2 linked regions of the Elephas maximus indicus genome follow. The protein of the gene in region 2 interacts with the protein of the main gene of each other region in a pairwise test. Links are inferred from orthologs where the notes say so. Each region holds a gene or a part of one and is shown on either strand. Other genes may lie near its edges.

Evidence for each region.
Region 1: the proteins of TXLNA (region 2) and CEP57L1 interact in binary tests that used the Homo sapiens proteins (3 or more experiments, as listed by UniProt). The two-hybrid records come from large-scale screens. The link is inferred for Elephas maximus indicus from reciprocal best matches to the Homo sapiens genes TXLNA and CEP57L1.

Annotation. Positions count from the first base shown.
Region 1 is NC_064819.1:174,987,535-174,995,236, reverse strand, and holds the start of CEP57L1 (centrosomal protein CEP57L1), read right to left. Parts: upstream 3,301-7,702; 5' UTR 2,950-3,300; exon of another isoform or gene 1,743-2,949; intron 1-1,742. Other genes in the region: SESN1 (sestrin-1), read left to right, coding at 4,417-4,695. UniProt on the Homo sapiens protein: Centrosomal protein which may be required for microtubule attachment to centrosomes.
Region 2 is NC_064821.1:73,088,192-73,095,882, reverse strand, and holds the start of TXLNA (alpha-taxilin), read right to left. Parts: upstream 3,296-7,691; 5' UTR 3,190-3,295; exon of another isoform or gene 3,124-3,189; intron 2,639-3,123; 5' UTR 2,607-2,638; coding exon 2,429-2,606; intron 1,804-2,428; coding exon 1,465-1,803; intron 163-1,464; coding exon 71-162; intron 1-70. UniProt on the Homo sapiens protein: May be involved in intracellular vesicle traffic and potentially in calcium-dependent exocytosis in neuroendocrine cells.

The DNA of each region.
Region 1 (7,702 bases), on a different chromosome or scaffold from region 2:
GCCAATGTCCTTTCAATCACGTACATCATCTCCTACCACTACCCTCTTCTTCTGAGACCGTGTGTTGCTGCATTTCCTGTTCTCATCATGTTCCAGCCACATTTGTCTCCTTTCTCAAATGTGCATGAGGAAGGGGCATTGATGGTTCAGTGGCAGAATTCTCACCTTCCATGCAGAAGACTTGATCCTATTTCCAGCCAATGCACCTCATGCATAGCCACCATCAGTCTGTCTGTGGAGGCTTATGTGTTGCTATGATGCTGAACACGTTTCCGTGGAGCTTTCTGATTAAGATGAACTAGGAAGAATGGCCTGCCAATCTACTTCTGAAAACCAGCCAATAAAAACCCCACAGATCATGATGGTTCAATCCACAACTGATGATGGATATGATGCAGGACCGAGTGTTTTGTTCTGTCATGCATGGGGTTTCCATGAGTCTGGGCTGACTCCATGGCAGCTAACAACTCAAATGTGTAGGCATGCTCCTGCCCACAGGCCTTTGCATTGGCTGTTCTCTTCACCTGAATGTTCTTCCCCCTAGCATCTTCAGATCCCCTCAGATGCCTCCTTCTTGGTTAGGTCTTCTCTGATTACCTTATTTAAAAGTGAGCCCCACCCCCACAACCCAACACTCCCTATTCCCCTTCTCAAGTTTTTTCTTCAAAGCATTTGTCTTCTTCATTTGATTCACTATACATTCACATATTTATGTATTGTCTGTCTCTCCCTAGTAGAATGCAAGCTCTCTGGCAGAAGGCAAACACTTTCACTTGGCTTCTAGGCCACTACACTCTGCTGCTGTCAGAGCTATATTCCCTGGGTCCTGTTATATAGTAGGTATTCAACAAGTATTTGGATGGTGCTAAAGCAGATAGGGAAGGCAGTTCAAATCTGCCAGGGGTTCCTTGGAAACTCTACGGGGCAGTTCTACTCTGTCCTATAGGGTCTCTCTGAGTCAGAAATGACTCGACAGCACTGGGTTTGGTTTTTTTGAAAGCAGAGAGAAATGGGTGGATTTGAGGGATATCTGGAAGATAAGATTGACAGAACTTGCTAACAATTTCGCTATAGAGATATGAACAACAGGAAGGAATGAAGGATGATGCTTAGCTTTCAAATTTTCACAAGTGAATGGATGGTAGTGGCCTTTACTAAGATAGGGAACACTGGAAGGAAACCAGATTCACAGGGAATAACTGTGTATTTGGTTTTAAGCATGCTGAGTTTGAAGTGCTTTTAAGATACGTGAGAAAAAATATTAAGGAGATAACTGGATATACGAAAGCTGAGAGGTGAACCTGGATGGAGCTATACATTTGGAAACCAAAAACCAAAAACATTTGGACGTCATCTGCAATAAATAGGTACTGGTGAATCCATGCATATGGTTGAGATCATATTCAACTATGGAGTGAAAAGGGAAGCTAGCCTTGAGAAACCACCTTACCCTTTGTGGGCTGGGTAAAGAAGGATGAGCCCACAAAAAAAGCAATGTTTTTTTGTTTTTAAAATCACACTTAAAATAATAGCTATAACCATTTTTATTCTGATTTAAACCAGTAGCATTAGAATCCTTCCAGGCTTGCCAAATTACACCAACTCATTGGTCACTTTGAGAAACTACCTGAAAATTTTACAGTACCTGTCTTTCTGCAGCTTCAAAATATATCAATATACAAAAAGCCATCCCTCCCAAATTATGTGATTTGGCTTATTGCAGTTTCTTTAAAGTTCCATACCTCTCTCGCTTCTGGGCTTCAGCATATGCTCTTTCTTTGGCCCCCAATTCCCCTGGGAAAGAGACTCCACTGCACCTTGGTGGCGCAGTGGTTAAAGCCATCGGCTGCTAACCCAAAGGCCAGAGGTTGGAAACCACCAGCAGCAGCTTGGAAGAATGATGTGGCAGTTGGTTTCCGTAGAGATGTACAGCCTCAGAAACCCTATCCCTATGGGGTCGCTATGAGTCAGAATCGTTTCAACAGCAGTGGGTTTGGTTTGGTTTTCGACTTCCAAGACTTGGCTGGGTGGCCCTCTTTCTAGACACTCCAAAGATAACACTATTACATAGTTCTGTTTTTGTTTAGGTAGGGACTGTGTCTCTTTCACTGTTTAGACCGTGCCTACAATGTTAAATTTTTAGAACTGGATCTGTTCTGCAACGTGAAAAATTAATTCTAATCTTATCAGTTCATTGATGGGCTTTCAAACCCCGACTTTTCTCAAGTGGCATGACTTTTTAAATATGGTCTTTTTTCCCCCCATATGGTCTCGTTAAAGCCTGCAAGAATTCTTATCATCTACGAATGTTGGAGATTGTTTTTCTTTTAGTCTCATTCGAAACGGATTTCACAAGTCGCTTTCAATGCCCTACTTGGGATTCATTTGAAGACTATCTCTACACAGAGGTAAGCTTAGGCTCGAATGCACCCAAAACCAAACCCATTGCCATCGAGTCGATTCCGACCCATAGCGACCCTACAGGACAGAGTAGAACTGCCCCATAGAGTTTCCAAGGAGCGCCCGGTGGATTCGAACTGCCGACCTCTAGGACAGCAGCCGTAGCACTTAACTACTACGCCACCAGGGTTTCCGCTCAATTGCACGGGGGTGTCTGATTCATCCCGCGCATGTTCACTACAGAGGGCAAACGCAGGGACAGCTGCGCGGAGCATCCGTTTTCATTTCATCCTTTTTGCATCTTAAAGAAGGCCGCTCACTCCCAACTTCGGGATCGCGACCTCCAAATTCTCGCCTCACCACGCGCAGGAGCTTAGACACCTGGACTAGTACTTCTTACTCAGGTCACTGGAAAAAGTCCCTGGACTGTCTGAGCAGCAGCCTTGGATGGCTTCGTCTCCAAAACCCCAGAGGAAAAAGGAGGAAGAAAAAAAAAAAATCTTGTCAAAGAAAGCCAGGAAAGAAAGCAGCCAAGCCTACAGTGCTCACCAAGCCGACGATCCAGTCAATCCGCGCTGCCTAACCGTTGGCTTGTAGGCCGCCACAGGCAAAGTCGCGGTGGTCCCTGGGGGTTGTAGTTTCTGTCGCAAACAAAACACCCGCAGAATAAAAACTACGTTTCCCAGAAGTCAACGCGAGGACACCCTGCCTCCTTAAATCGGGGTTCGGGCTAATAAAGAGGCCGTTACTATTTTTAGACAAATCTTAAATTTAGCCTGTTTCTTCCAGGAGTGCTCCGTGTCGTCTTTCTTTACCCTGCTTGTCTTTGATAAAGTTTCAGCGTACTTAATTTTTTCCCCTTTCTCCACTCCAACACCAAACGTCTGACAACAGAAAACGAACCGTGAAGAAGCTAAGTGCCTTTAAGGCGCATGCACCGTCCTTGAGGTTACGCATGCGTAAGAACCGGCAGCCGTTGGCGGCCGCGCGCGGGCTTGGGGTCCGGAGGTAGCAGGGCGAAGGGCGGGGCTTTTTCCAATGGCTTTTTTTTGCCTTCGCGGGTCGCGTCTGCCTGGGCGGGGAAGAGGGCGCAGGGGCAGGGGCGGCTCCTGGTTTGTGCCGGGCGGAGAAAGGGGAGGGGCTGGGGGTGAGGACCCCATCTCCCCTCCTTGCTCCCGCCCTTTGGGCCGATCCCCACCGATGGGGCTGGACGAAGGGGCGGGTTCTGTGCCTGGGGCTCTGCCGCACCGCCAGCTCTGCGGCCCAGCCCGGTGCGGGGCAACCCTGTGCTGGTCTGGCTTGGCGGGCGGTGGGCAAGGGCGCAGGGATCGGAGAAGAAGCGGCGTCTTCCTGAGGGTCGGGAATCGGCGGGGCCGAGGGCGCTCTCCTCCAGTACTGCCTCGGAGACTGCATCTGCAGAAGACACCCGCCCCCTGGAGCGCTCAAGTCTCCGACCGCCGCGGCCCGTGGGCCAGGGCTCGGCGAGTCGTCCCCGCTGGCGGTCAGCGGGCCGCTGGGGCACAAGGAGGAGCTGCGGAGGGCGGGGACTGGTGCCGGAGAGGCGGGGTGGGAACGCTCCGGTGACCGCCGTGCCTGCACTGACAAAAACCCCCGAATGACTGGAGAGTGTTCAACTGGTACCAGCCTTTCTGGGCATAGCACGGATTTGACAGCTCCACGTCGTGAGGATATCCGCTGACCCCGCGAGACGAAGGACAGCACTTCCCCGAGAGTCCCTCTCCAGCACAGCCAGCGCCGTAAGGTTGCAACCTTCCAACTTTTTTTCCCTTCAGTCTTTGACCAGTGTAGAACCAGAGGGTGAGCTCTGTTTTGTAACTCGGTGGAAATCATCCGTATAAGAGACAACCGGTTCCAAATGTCACCCGAACGTGCGTTTTCTTGACGATTCGATTTCTCTGATTTTACTCTTACATTTCTGATTTAAAAAATAAAAACTGCTTTTGCAGACATGGTGAAAGGTAACTGAAGATTGAAAAAGAAAAGCTCCAAGTTGACATGGCTGAAGGAGAGAATGAAATGAGATGGGATGGACTGTGCAGTAGAGATTCAAGTACCAGAGAGATAGCACTGGAAAACATTAGGCAAATAATTTTGAGGAAAACCGAGTATTTTCGTTCCGTTAAAGAGACACCACATCGTCCGTCACACGAGCTTTCAAATGCTGTTTCTTCGGATGGGTTGAATAAACTTCTTGCTCATCTGCTCATGCTTTCTAAGAGGTGTCCTTTTAAAGATGTAAGAGAGAAAAGTGAGTTTATTCTGAAGAGCGTCCAGGTAAGGAAAGCTTTATAAATAATGCCGTCTATCTAGTACACCAAAATTTTACTTGCAGTTATTCACTTTGTGTTTACTTCTAATACGTCGTCATGATGTAAACTCTAATCATCTTAAAATAGAGTTTTGGGTTAAAATTGGAAAAAAATGAACTAAAGTAAAAAGCAATTTTCAAATATAAGTAAACAAAGTATTGTCTTTCTAGAGAGTTTTAGGCAGAAACTGCATTCCTCAAATATATGTGATAAAAAAAAATTTTGTGTGTGTGATAGTTACAGTTAATTGCAAGTAAAGACTTGGCTTTTCCTGATATTAACTTTTTCACGTTGTTGTGAAGCAGAGCCAGTGTACTTTTCCCATTGTTACAAACAGTGTTCTGGGTGGGAAGTGTCCCATATAAAAACCTTCAAAATGATAAGAGGATATTCAATGTTTCCTAGTCTGCTTGTTCAGGATAATTGCTGAAACAATTTTCTCTTGTTCTTAAAAACAAAACAAACAAAACACAGGGTGTGTTCTCTAAATGTAAGCTTTCCTTTTTTAAAAAGAATTATATAAAAAAAAAATTAAAGCCCATGTTATAAAGGAATTCAAAACCCAGGCAGGATATATGATGGGAACACTTTTATGGTAAATTACTCAGCCAACTTTCTCTGTATTTGCCTGCATGTTTTGTTTATTTTTCACATACATATTTATTTAAATTGTGAGTGCAGCAGATTAAAAATATTTAGTTTTCCCCATTTCGTACATTATTTATTAGAATTTTTTTTTGCAAAAGGTTGCCTTTAGATACTAAGAATGTTCGGTAATGTTGTTTATATATGTTTGTCAATCTATAAGTTACTTAATCCACAGGTGTTCTTCAAAGTCATACTATGAAAAATTTTTTAAATTTATAATTTACTTGGATATATGTAAACTAGGAAGCCCTGGTGGTGTGTGGTTAAGTGCTACGGCTGCTAACCAAAAGGTCAGCAGTTCGAATCCACCAGGCGCTCCTTGGAAACTCTATGGGGCAGCTCTACTCAGTCCTATAGGGTCGCTATGTGTCAGAATCGACTCAACAGCAGTGGGTTTGGTTTTTGGTTATATGTAAACTAAGATGAACAGTTTTCTATACTGGCTTGAATTTAGTTTAAAGCAGCAGAAAAATAATCATTTCCATAAAATTAAGACTCTATGTAGATCTTGGAATATTTCTTCCCAAGAACAATTTGGAAACAATCATTGTAATTTATTTGTCCAGAGGTACCACAGAGAAATTAATTTTCTAGATACCTAAAGTCTACCCTCTTAGGCATCAAAAGTTATTTCTCTGGCCCTAGACTGTAGTGATGAAACAACCTTTTTTTTTTTTTTGTAATGGGCTCATCATGATGCACACCAAGCACTGTTGTAAAACAGAAGGTGGGGTGTATAGGACTGTATGACCCTACACTGAGAAATGCCATCTTGATATATTTTTTGAATTTTTAAAGTTTTTCAGTGCCTTCTCTTTCTGTCTGCATACTTCACTTTGGTCTTTTCCTGAATCATTTTCCCGCATATTTATATTATTAGGCTGGGAAACCAGATAATCAGTTTTGTTAAGAGTTATTTGGAAAATAGAAATATGTAGGTTCTGAAGGGAGTACAGGGCCAAAGATCTGTGATATGTAGTGGTAAGTGAGTACCAGAGTCCCTGGGTGGTGGAAACTGTCAACAAGCTCGGCTGCTAAACGAAAGGTTGGAGGTTGGAGCCTACCCAAAGGAGCCCCTGAAGAAAGGCCTGGCAGTCTGTTTCTGAAAAATCAGCCATTGAAAACCCTATGGAGCACAGTTCTACTCTGACACACATGGGGTTGCCATTAGTGAGAAATGACTAAACAGTAATTTTTTTTTTTAATGGGTACTAGAGTCAGACATACCAAAAACCAAACCAAGCCCAGTGCCGTCGAGTCGATTCCAACTCATAGTGACCCTATAGGACAGAGCAGAACTGCCCCATAGAGTTTCCAAGGAGCGCCTGGCGGATTTGAACTGCTTACCTTTGGTTAGCAGCCGTAGCACTTAACCACTGCACCACCAGGGTTTCCAGAGTCAGACATACCTAGTCTCAAATTCTGCTACTTTCGCTGTGAGTCAGAATCAACTTGATGGCAATAGGTTTTTTTTTGTTTGTTTTTTTTATTGTACTAAGGAACCCTGGTGGCACCATGGTTAAGTACTCGGCTGCTAACTTTTCGGTTAGCAGATCGAAGCCACCAACTGCTCTGCAGGAGAAAGATGTGTCAATCTGCTTCTGTAAAGATTACAGCCCTGGAAACCGTGTGGGGCAGTTGTCTTATAGAGTCACTATGAGTTGAAATCAACTCAACGAGATACAACATTAATGTACTATGTAATCTTGAGCAAGTTACTTGACCTCCCTTAACTTGGAATTCCACATCTGTGAAACAGGAATAACAATATAGAGCAAAAAAAAAAAAATAGTGAGAATTAAATGAGATGTAAAGTGCCCCAGCATATGGTAGATGCTCCTTTCCCTTTTCTTAAGTAAAATGCATGAACTATATGATATTTATTTTAAGACTCATTAATCCTTGAAAAAGATTCAAGAGTCTCTTCTACTGTGAAGGTTTCCTATAGATTTATACTCTTTTTTTCATCTTTGTATTTATTGCACCTTATTCCTGCCACAATTATAATAGATGCTTTCGTTATTATGGGGTAATCACATGCTTATGTGTCTGTCTTTCCAGTCAGGGCTGTGAGTTCTCAAGAGTATTGGCTGAGACCTGAAAGCTACTAAATAAATATTTAGTGGATGAACAAACCTGTATTTGGCTTCTTTTTGTTTCTTATCAGTCTCAGTAGATGAAGTTAACAGATTAGTGAGTTTCTGTGCCTACATCATTCATTCAACAAATATTTATTGAATCTCTGGTAAATGTCATTCTAAGAACTGGGGACCAGTGGTGAACAATTTTGACATTCTACTCCAGAGAGACATACCGTAAAGAAG
Region 2 (7,691 bases):
AGCCCCAGTCCAGGGGGCCTGCTGACTTTCCAAAGGCAGGGAGGGTATGAGGGGCAGTTTGGGGACTGACCAGTTCAGCATACTTCTTGCACAGCGCTGCCAGCTTCTCCTCTGGGGTACTCAGCGTATTCAATGTCTGCATCAGCAGTGTGATCTCCTTTCCTGCAAAGCAGAGAGCAAAGGTGTGCACACACTTCTCTGGGAGGCCCCAAGCCCCTCCAGGCCTGGGCCCACACTCTTGAACCTTAATACAGCCCTCCCCTACCCTACTTTATATTTCTGCTCGTCAAACTGGCTGCCTTCCCTGCTAGACTACATGCTTCGTGAGGGCCCCAGGACTCTCCCTAGTGCCTGTCACAGGGCACATGCTCAACCGCTGAACAACTGGGCACCTGTGGAATCTTGGTGGGCACCACCGGTGGGAGAGAAAAATGGCCTGCTCTATCACCAGATGAAAGGTGTCCCACCTTGGAGTTCAGTGCTACTGTTTCAATGCAAGGAGGGCCTTTCCAAAAGAGGAAGGATCCAAGAAAGCTAAGTCTCTGGCCTCCCTGAGAATGCACTGAAAATTTCCTGTCAACAGGTAGCCAAATAGTGAATGAGTATAAAACGAGTATATCTTCCACATACGTGATTCGAAAATCTCTTTTTTGTATGTGCTTTAAATGAAAGTTCACAGCTAAAGTTAGTTTCTCAAGTCTAAGATTTTTTAAAATAAATACTCTCTCTTCAAATTAGGGCAACAGCTGAGGGTAGGAAAGTAGGGAGTAGGGCACAGGTATAACATCACCCAACCTCGATCCTTTAATAGCCTGTCAGTCACTACCTTTCCCCGCTGCCTGCACCTGAGTCAGAGAGTTCACTGCTCCCTCCCTGGGGGCCACCTTGCACAGAACAGCACCAGGCTCCTGAGTGTCAGTCTTGGGAGTCTCCAAGAGTTGGGTGTACAGGCTGCAAGTCACTGGCACACAGGCCAAATCCAGCCCATAAACGGGTTTTGCTTGGCTCCTAGTGTTTTAGTTGCCAACAGTTAAAAAAAAAAAAAAAAAACTGGCTGCAGTAAGCCTGCAGCTTTGGCTGCTATCAATTAGCTGGGACCAGGTGGCAGTCAACCTTTGGATGAAACAGGCATTCTCTTGATCCACATGGGTCCCCTGGTTAGCTTGGTTTATGGGGACATTTGAGCTTTTGATCCTGGTCTAGTCTAGTTCTCTTACTAAAAAGAACTGGAAACTAAGGCCCAGACAGGGGAGGGACTTGCCCAAGGTCACACTGTGGTGCTGGCTGGCACGGGAGCCCACCAAGTCTCCTGCTCTCCATTTTCTCAAAGAGCAAGCAGGCTAGATTTCAGCCCCACTTGCTTCTGAAGCCAGGTGCCCTTGTGCAGTGAATGACCTGAACATTTCTATGTTGTGGCCCCACACAGCTGGCTCTGGTTAAACTAAGTAGCTATCCTCTGCTCACCCAGCCCCTTGGCTTTCTTCTTCTCCTGTGGCCTCCGGTGGTCTCGGTCTCCGCCTTCGTCACTCGCCCGGATCTCCTCTGTGCCTGGCTCCCCCTTGGAAGTCTCCTTTTCACCATTGACTACTGGGGTCCCTGGCTCAGGCTCCCCATTCCTTGCAGCATAGCTCCGGGACTTCTCTGCATCTTCAGGTTCGGCGGGCTCACTCTGTGCCCCATCCTCACCTGGGCCCCCCTGATTGTTGTCCACACAGTAAGTACTCAAGATGTCTTCCAGCTGGCGGCTCAGCTCCTCGGACACATCACGGAGGGCCCCAGACTGAGCAGTTTTGGCTTGAGCCCCTACAACAGAATAGGATGAGGTGCACAGTGAGAAATGAGATGGTTATATCACTGGTTGGGGCTCTTCAGGCTCAGCCAGACTCACCGGGTTGGGTTAAACATTGCCTAATCTCTTTAAAGCTCAGTTCATTTCCCTATAAATGGTGTAACTATCCCTCACCACCACCCAATAAGGTTTGCTGTGAGTATAAAGGTATGTAAAGCATTCAACATGGACTAAGCACTTAGCATGAACTCAACTTCTAATCTCCTCCCCTCAAAAGCTGTTCCTTACTATTAAACAAGTTCCAGAAACACCTCAAGTATGGATGGCAGTTACCCACTGGTGACTGAAGTGTCTCCTAAAGGGACGAGGATTTGCTAGTCAGGCCTCTCATTTGACTGCCACCTGGTTTAATCCTGTCAGCCTTCTCTAAAGAGGGTTCTGCTCGTGTTTGGAGCAGGAGGCTATATCAACTCCCCCGGAAAGGGTGGGGAATCACACAGACTCTGCACTGTCCTCCTCTCATTCTACATTTCCTCTTCCCTGGGTAAACTGCTGGCCTCGGCTTCAAACTCCAGCAGCTAAGCAGGAGTACCACAAACTCCTCCCCCTGCCCGATGGAAAAGCAAAGCTGGCACACACCCTCAGGCTTCCCCGGGGCCTGGGTGGTGGAATCTTCAGCTTCGGTTGCAGGAGCAGCCTGGCTGGGCCGCCCCTGAGCTCCCTCTGGTCCCGCTTCCGGTTGCCCTGGGTTGCTTTTTGGGTTGGAAGTGTTGCCTGATGGCTTGGCAGCCCCATTCTTTTTGTCTTGGTTCTTCATTGTGGTTTGCAAGGCTAGATTAAGAGCAAATCCTTCAGAAAGAAACACAGTTGCTATTTTCCAGACTTCGAAAATCTTCGCCGCCCAATGCCAGGCGCACAAAGCTTCTCAAAACAAAAACAAACTGGTTGGCCTCTACCGGGGGGAGCTAACGGTTCTCCCGGTCTCTGCCCGGTCAGGGGAGCCTGGCGTGCCCAGGCTGGTTTTCGGGGCGCTACTCCTAGAACGGGCGAGGACAGAGGCCTCCCTCCTGCCGAAGCCACTTCCCGGCACAACACGGCCCCCTCACGACAGGCCGAGCGCGGGATTGGCTCAGGGCCGAAGACTGACGTGGCGGGATGCTCTATTCCCGAACCCTCCCCCCCGCCCCTAGGACTCACGTGGGCTCCGCGAGCGCGCGCGCGCGCAGCCACCCACGCCCCGCGCGCCCTCCAGCCGCGCGCGCGCATGCGCAAGGCCATAACCCGCCTCCCCGCCCTAGCCCACGCACGAAATCGGCGCGACTGCCCCCACTTGCCGAAAGTATCCAGGCATACAGGGAGCACCCTGATCGTCTCGTCCCGCTAGCTGCAGCAGCACGTACCTCGCCGCCGACGTACCGACGGCTTCACCCGCTCTGGCCGCGCACCGGAAACCCTGGGCAACCGCTTTCGGCAGAGCGGCCCGCTCTCGTCGCAGCCAATCAATAGCCCGCGCTCTCGCGAAGCTTGCTGGGAAAGCTGAGGCGATGGCGGCCTTTGAGGCGGGTAATTGGGAAGGCGGGGGAGGGAAGGGACTACATGTCCCTCCATGCATCGGGGCTAGCTGTCCACAACTCCCAAGATGCAAGGGAAAGGGCTTCGTTCTGGCAGCCGGGTACCCTGTAGGTCCGGAAGGAGCCAGTTACTATGCATAAATACCTAGAGTAACCTCATTATCATTCAGAAGCTGTGATTCAGTACCCAGGCTTTGCTCCTGGCTATTCTTTCCTGCACGCCACCACCCTCTCACCCCACATTGTGAAATTCTATGCCTCTTATTTTTAGTATCTGGGGGACTCTGAGGCCTCTCGACGAGCGATGGATTCTTGAGTCGAGAGACCTGTATTCCAGTTCTGACGTCATCACTGATTTGTAGTATGACTGGGCATTCTTTTCTCTCTCTGGGCCTCAATTTCCTTTTTTCAAATGGAGGCTTTTAATAATAGCAATAACAGGTTATTGGGTGCCTGCCATATGGTTAATCCTCATAACTACTCATCGAGACAAGTACTATTGTTATTTCCCATTTCCTCATGAGAACAGTAAGGCAAAGGTTAGATAACTTGTCTAAGGTCACACTGCTAAAGAGTGGTTAGAGCAGGGATTCAAAACCAGGAAGTCTGGCACCAGGCCACCGTACTAACTACTCTGCCATGCTTTCCCTTAGGATGAGTCGAGGTGACTTATTTTTTTCCCACTCCTCATCACCAGTTGGAAACCCTGGTGGCCTAGTGGTTAAGAGCTGCTAACCAAAAAAGTCGGCAGTTCTCCTGTGTCCTATAGGGTCGCTATGAGTCCGAGTTGACTCGAAAGCAACATTTTTTTTTTTTCCATCACCAGTGTGGCAACTAGTCTCTTTGGAAAGGGCTGAGGACACCCTGCAGGGAGAGCTTGGCCTCAGACAAAGATTCCCAAGCCTTTTTCTCTGACAGGCCAACCCTACGCAGGCCACTTCATCACACCATCTGACTAGACTGACAAAGTCCCAGTGGCACTGGGGCTAAAGCTGGGGGGGGGGAACCCCAAGCTTCTCTCCAAATATGGAATCACAATTCGTTATCCCTGCTACCTACAGATAATGGAATAAAGGCCAATAATCCTTGCGCCTGGAGCTGAAAGCCTAGACGATTTGGCTTCTTCTGTTTTCAGCCAATCCTCCCCATCCCCACTCTCGTTTTTGCTTCAACTGTACTTTTACTCTTTCCAGCATTTCTCAGGTTTTTGCAGATCCTATTTCCTCTTTTGAGGCCCAGCTCAAAAGCCTCTTTAGAGCCTTCCCAATGCTCTGCAATCTGTCCTAGCTCCCTACGTCTAGATAGAGTTCTATTACAGCGTTATCACCAAGGTGTTGATACTATTTGCTTGCAAGTCAAAGAATACTGTGGGGAATTGTTAGCTAAATTCTCTTGTCCCAAAGGCTAGCACTTGGTGAAGGCAGAGAATGGTTTTAAGTTGTTCAAATTGAGCATTGTTTGGGGGCTGTTAAGATGTTAAGTATTTCCCCCAAAAGTTAAGGAGACCATAGGGCAGAGAGCTCTGTTTAGTGGCTCCAGACATCAAGGTTTGCCTTTACCAGGTAACACTGAGAGGCAATACGGTATAATTGTGTGATGAAGGAACTGAGAAGCTAGGATTTGGAATCCAGGTCTCTTGAAATGAAGGCCTCATTTCCGGAAAAGCATGTTAGAAATCCCTTGAGGAGGTTACATTATCAATAAGGCCTTGAAGTTCTAGGAAAAAGAAAATAAGAACAGGCTTAAATGGAGTGAGGGGTGGAGGGTATAGCAGAAAGGTCAACACTGGCCTCCAGGGACCAGACGGGTAATAAGAGTAGATAGAGCAGGCACCACGGAACAAGAAAAATAGAAACATGGGTTTAAAAAGTCACTTTCTCAGGTATAAAAGAAATATGGCAATGAGTCAGGGAGACAACTAGTATGGTAGTGATTACGGTAGAGAGGTCCTTGCAGATTGTTGCCAAGCAGAAACTTAGGCCCAGTTATGCCAGATATTCAGTGTTTTTCAAGACAGCTATTTCTTGATTTTTTAATGTTGTTAACTAATTAAAACTTAAAACTCACTATCAGCCAAATAAGACCTTCCTTTTGGGCGAAATCAAATTGTTGGCTTCTTGTCTAATTTGTGTTAGGAATTGCTCTAAGCTGAAGTGAGGAGTTTGTGAACTGTATGACCTCAACTTTTATGAGAACATTTCTTCACTGGCAAAATGGGGACAATATTCAGTTAGCTTGTAAGACTCGAAACAATGTCAAGATCCTTTATAGCAACTCTAGAAAATGCGAACTGATCTATAATGACTATAGAATGCAGGTTAGTGCTGGGGCACAGTGAAACTTATGGGGGTGACGGGTATATTCACTATCTTAATTGTGGTGATGGTTTCACGAGTGCATGTATATAAAAAATTATCAAATTGTACACTTTAAATAGGTGTAGTTTATTGTATGTCAATTATACGTCAATAAAGTTGTTAAAAAAAACAAAACAAACCTTTTATAGCAGGAGCAGGCTGCAGCGATTTTTATTTCTATTAGACTAACAAGTTTAAATACCCTTTCCTCATTCACCTCCAAATAATCCAGCCTAGGTTCACTCCAAACCAAAAGAGACGATTTAGAACTTTGCAACAGGTTTTTATTTTTTGCTTTATATCTATTATTACAGTGTTTGAAACCTAAAGAAATACATTTCTCTTCAAATTTGGATGTGTATATAAATATCATTTGTCTGGACTCAGCACACTCAATGCCATGGTTTCTTGGCCTATGTCTGCTCTAAAATCATCAAGCTGTGTCTGTCTACCCAGGGGCCCTGAGAACATGGAAAATAGCCAGAGAGTTTATGGTTCTTGGAAAAATAAAAACAAATGAATTAGGAAAGAAATACCAGTAAGGAGGAGAAGGGCTGGATTCACCTTTCTAGGGTCTGTAGCTGGGAACCAACCTGTTTTGGGGGACATCTGCTTTGCTGGATGGTTGGGGTCCTATACCTCCTTTTCCTTCTCTAGTGATAAAATCAAAGGCAGTTTCCACAAAAGCTGGATAAAGAAGCCAATACCCAACTCCAGGGCCTGAGGATGCTAAGGACATCCTCTGAGGCAGAGGTTCCTAGTCAGTCTCAGGGCCTCTTAGGTATGCCTTCCTTTACTGCCCCAGAGCATGCAGACAGTTTTCTCTCCCTAAGCCCAGGGGCTGAAAATCTGACCCGCTTAGGGGAGTAGGGCTAGCTTTCAACAGAGGGGTTCAGGTAGTGCTAATGTGGACATAAGAAGTCAGGCTGGCCCAGAAGTAGCCAGGTAGGCCCAAAACCTTTATAGCATACTATGCAAACCTCTCTCCCAGAGTGTCTGGGCCCCAAATTTAAGTCAGTAACTCTCAAAGCCAGTTTTGGTTCTGCACATAGCCCAGATCTAATGCAAAATGCCCTCAGAGGAAAAATAACAGCTTTAATACATAAAGTTGGTTAGTCTTGACTTCAGTTTCCTCCCCTGCCATGGTCTTATCTGGGGTAGGGCTAAGGGATAGGCAATGGGATGACTGAGTCATTACCAAGGCCTTGGCCAAAGAGCATCTAGTGTCTGCCACATGGATCCCTGTAGGGCCAATTCTCGCTTGGGGGCTTAACAAAAGAATTTAAAAGCTAAGACACAGAAAAAATACTGGATAAGGTTGGTCTAGAATGTGCAATCCTAAAACAGCTGTGGAAGAAAACTACTCTGAGCAGTTTCATTCCCACACTCGTGCACTCCTGGAGTAGTCCTGGCCTGGAACATATTGCCACTGGTTATGAACATTTCTTTCCTATGGTTCAGCATCCTGAGCCTTGTAACCCTCCCCCAGGCTGCCAGGGAGGCCGGCAGGCAGGCACATTCAAAGAAAGGCTTTTTTCCTCCATTGCCCTTGTACAGAGGATAGAAGCAATTTTTTAAGGAACTACTTTGTACACCTAAAGCAATGTCTCTGACATTAGGCTGGCCCCCAGCTGGGCTGTTCTCCTTATGACCCTGCAGTGCCTGCAGGGACCTGGAAAATAGGAGAATCTAGAATCTGAGCCCATAAGATGACTCCATGGAGGAATGCCTAAGATGATGAGTGAGTCTAGGGGAGGAGAGGAGGCCTGAGGAAATGAGGGTGGCCTTCAAAGAGGGACCTGGGTTGAGGAAGGAATTATTGCTAGGCTTTCATCTCCTTCCCTTCTAGTTAGCTAGAACACGGATAGCTCTAGGGTGCAGGGGGAAGGAAAGCAAAAAGGAGAATATGGAAATCCAGTTCATTCTGGTAGATGGTTTTAATTTTAAACTGGTTTGGCTTTAGTGAAATAGAAG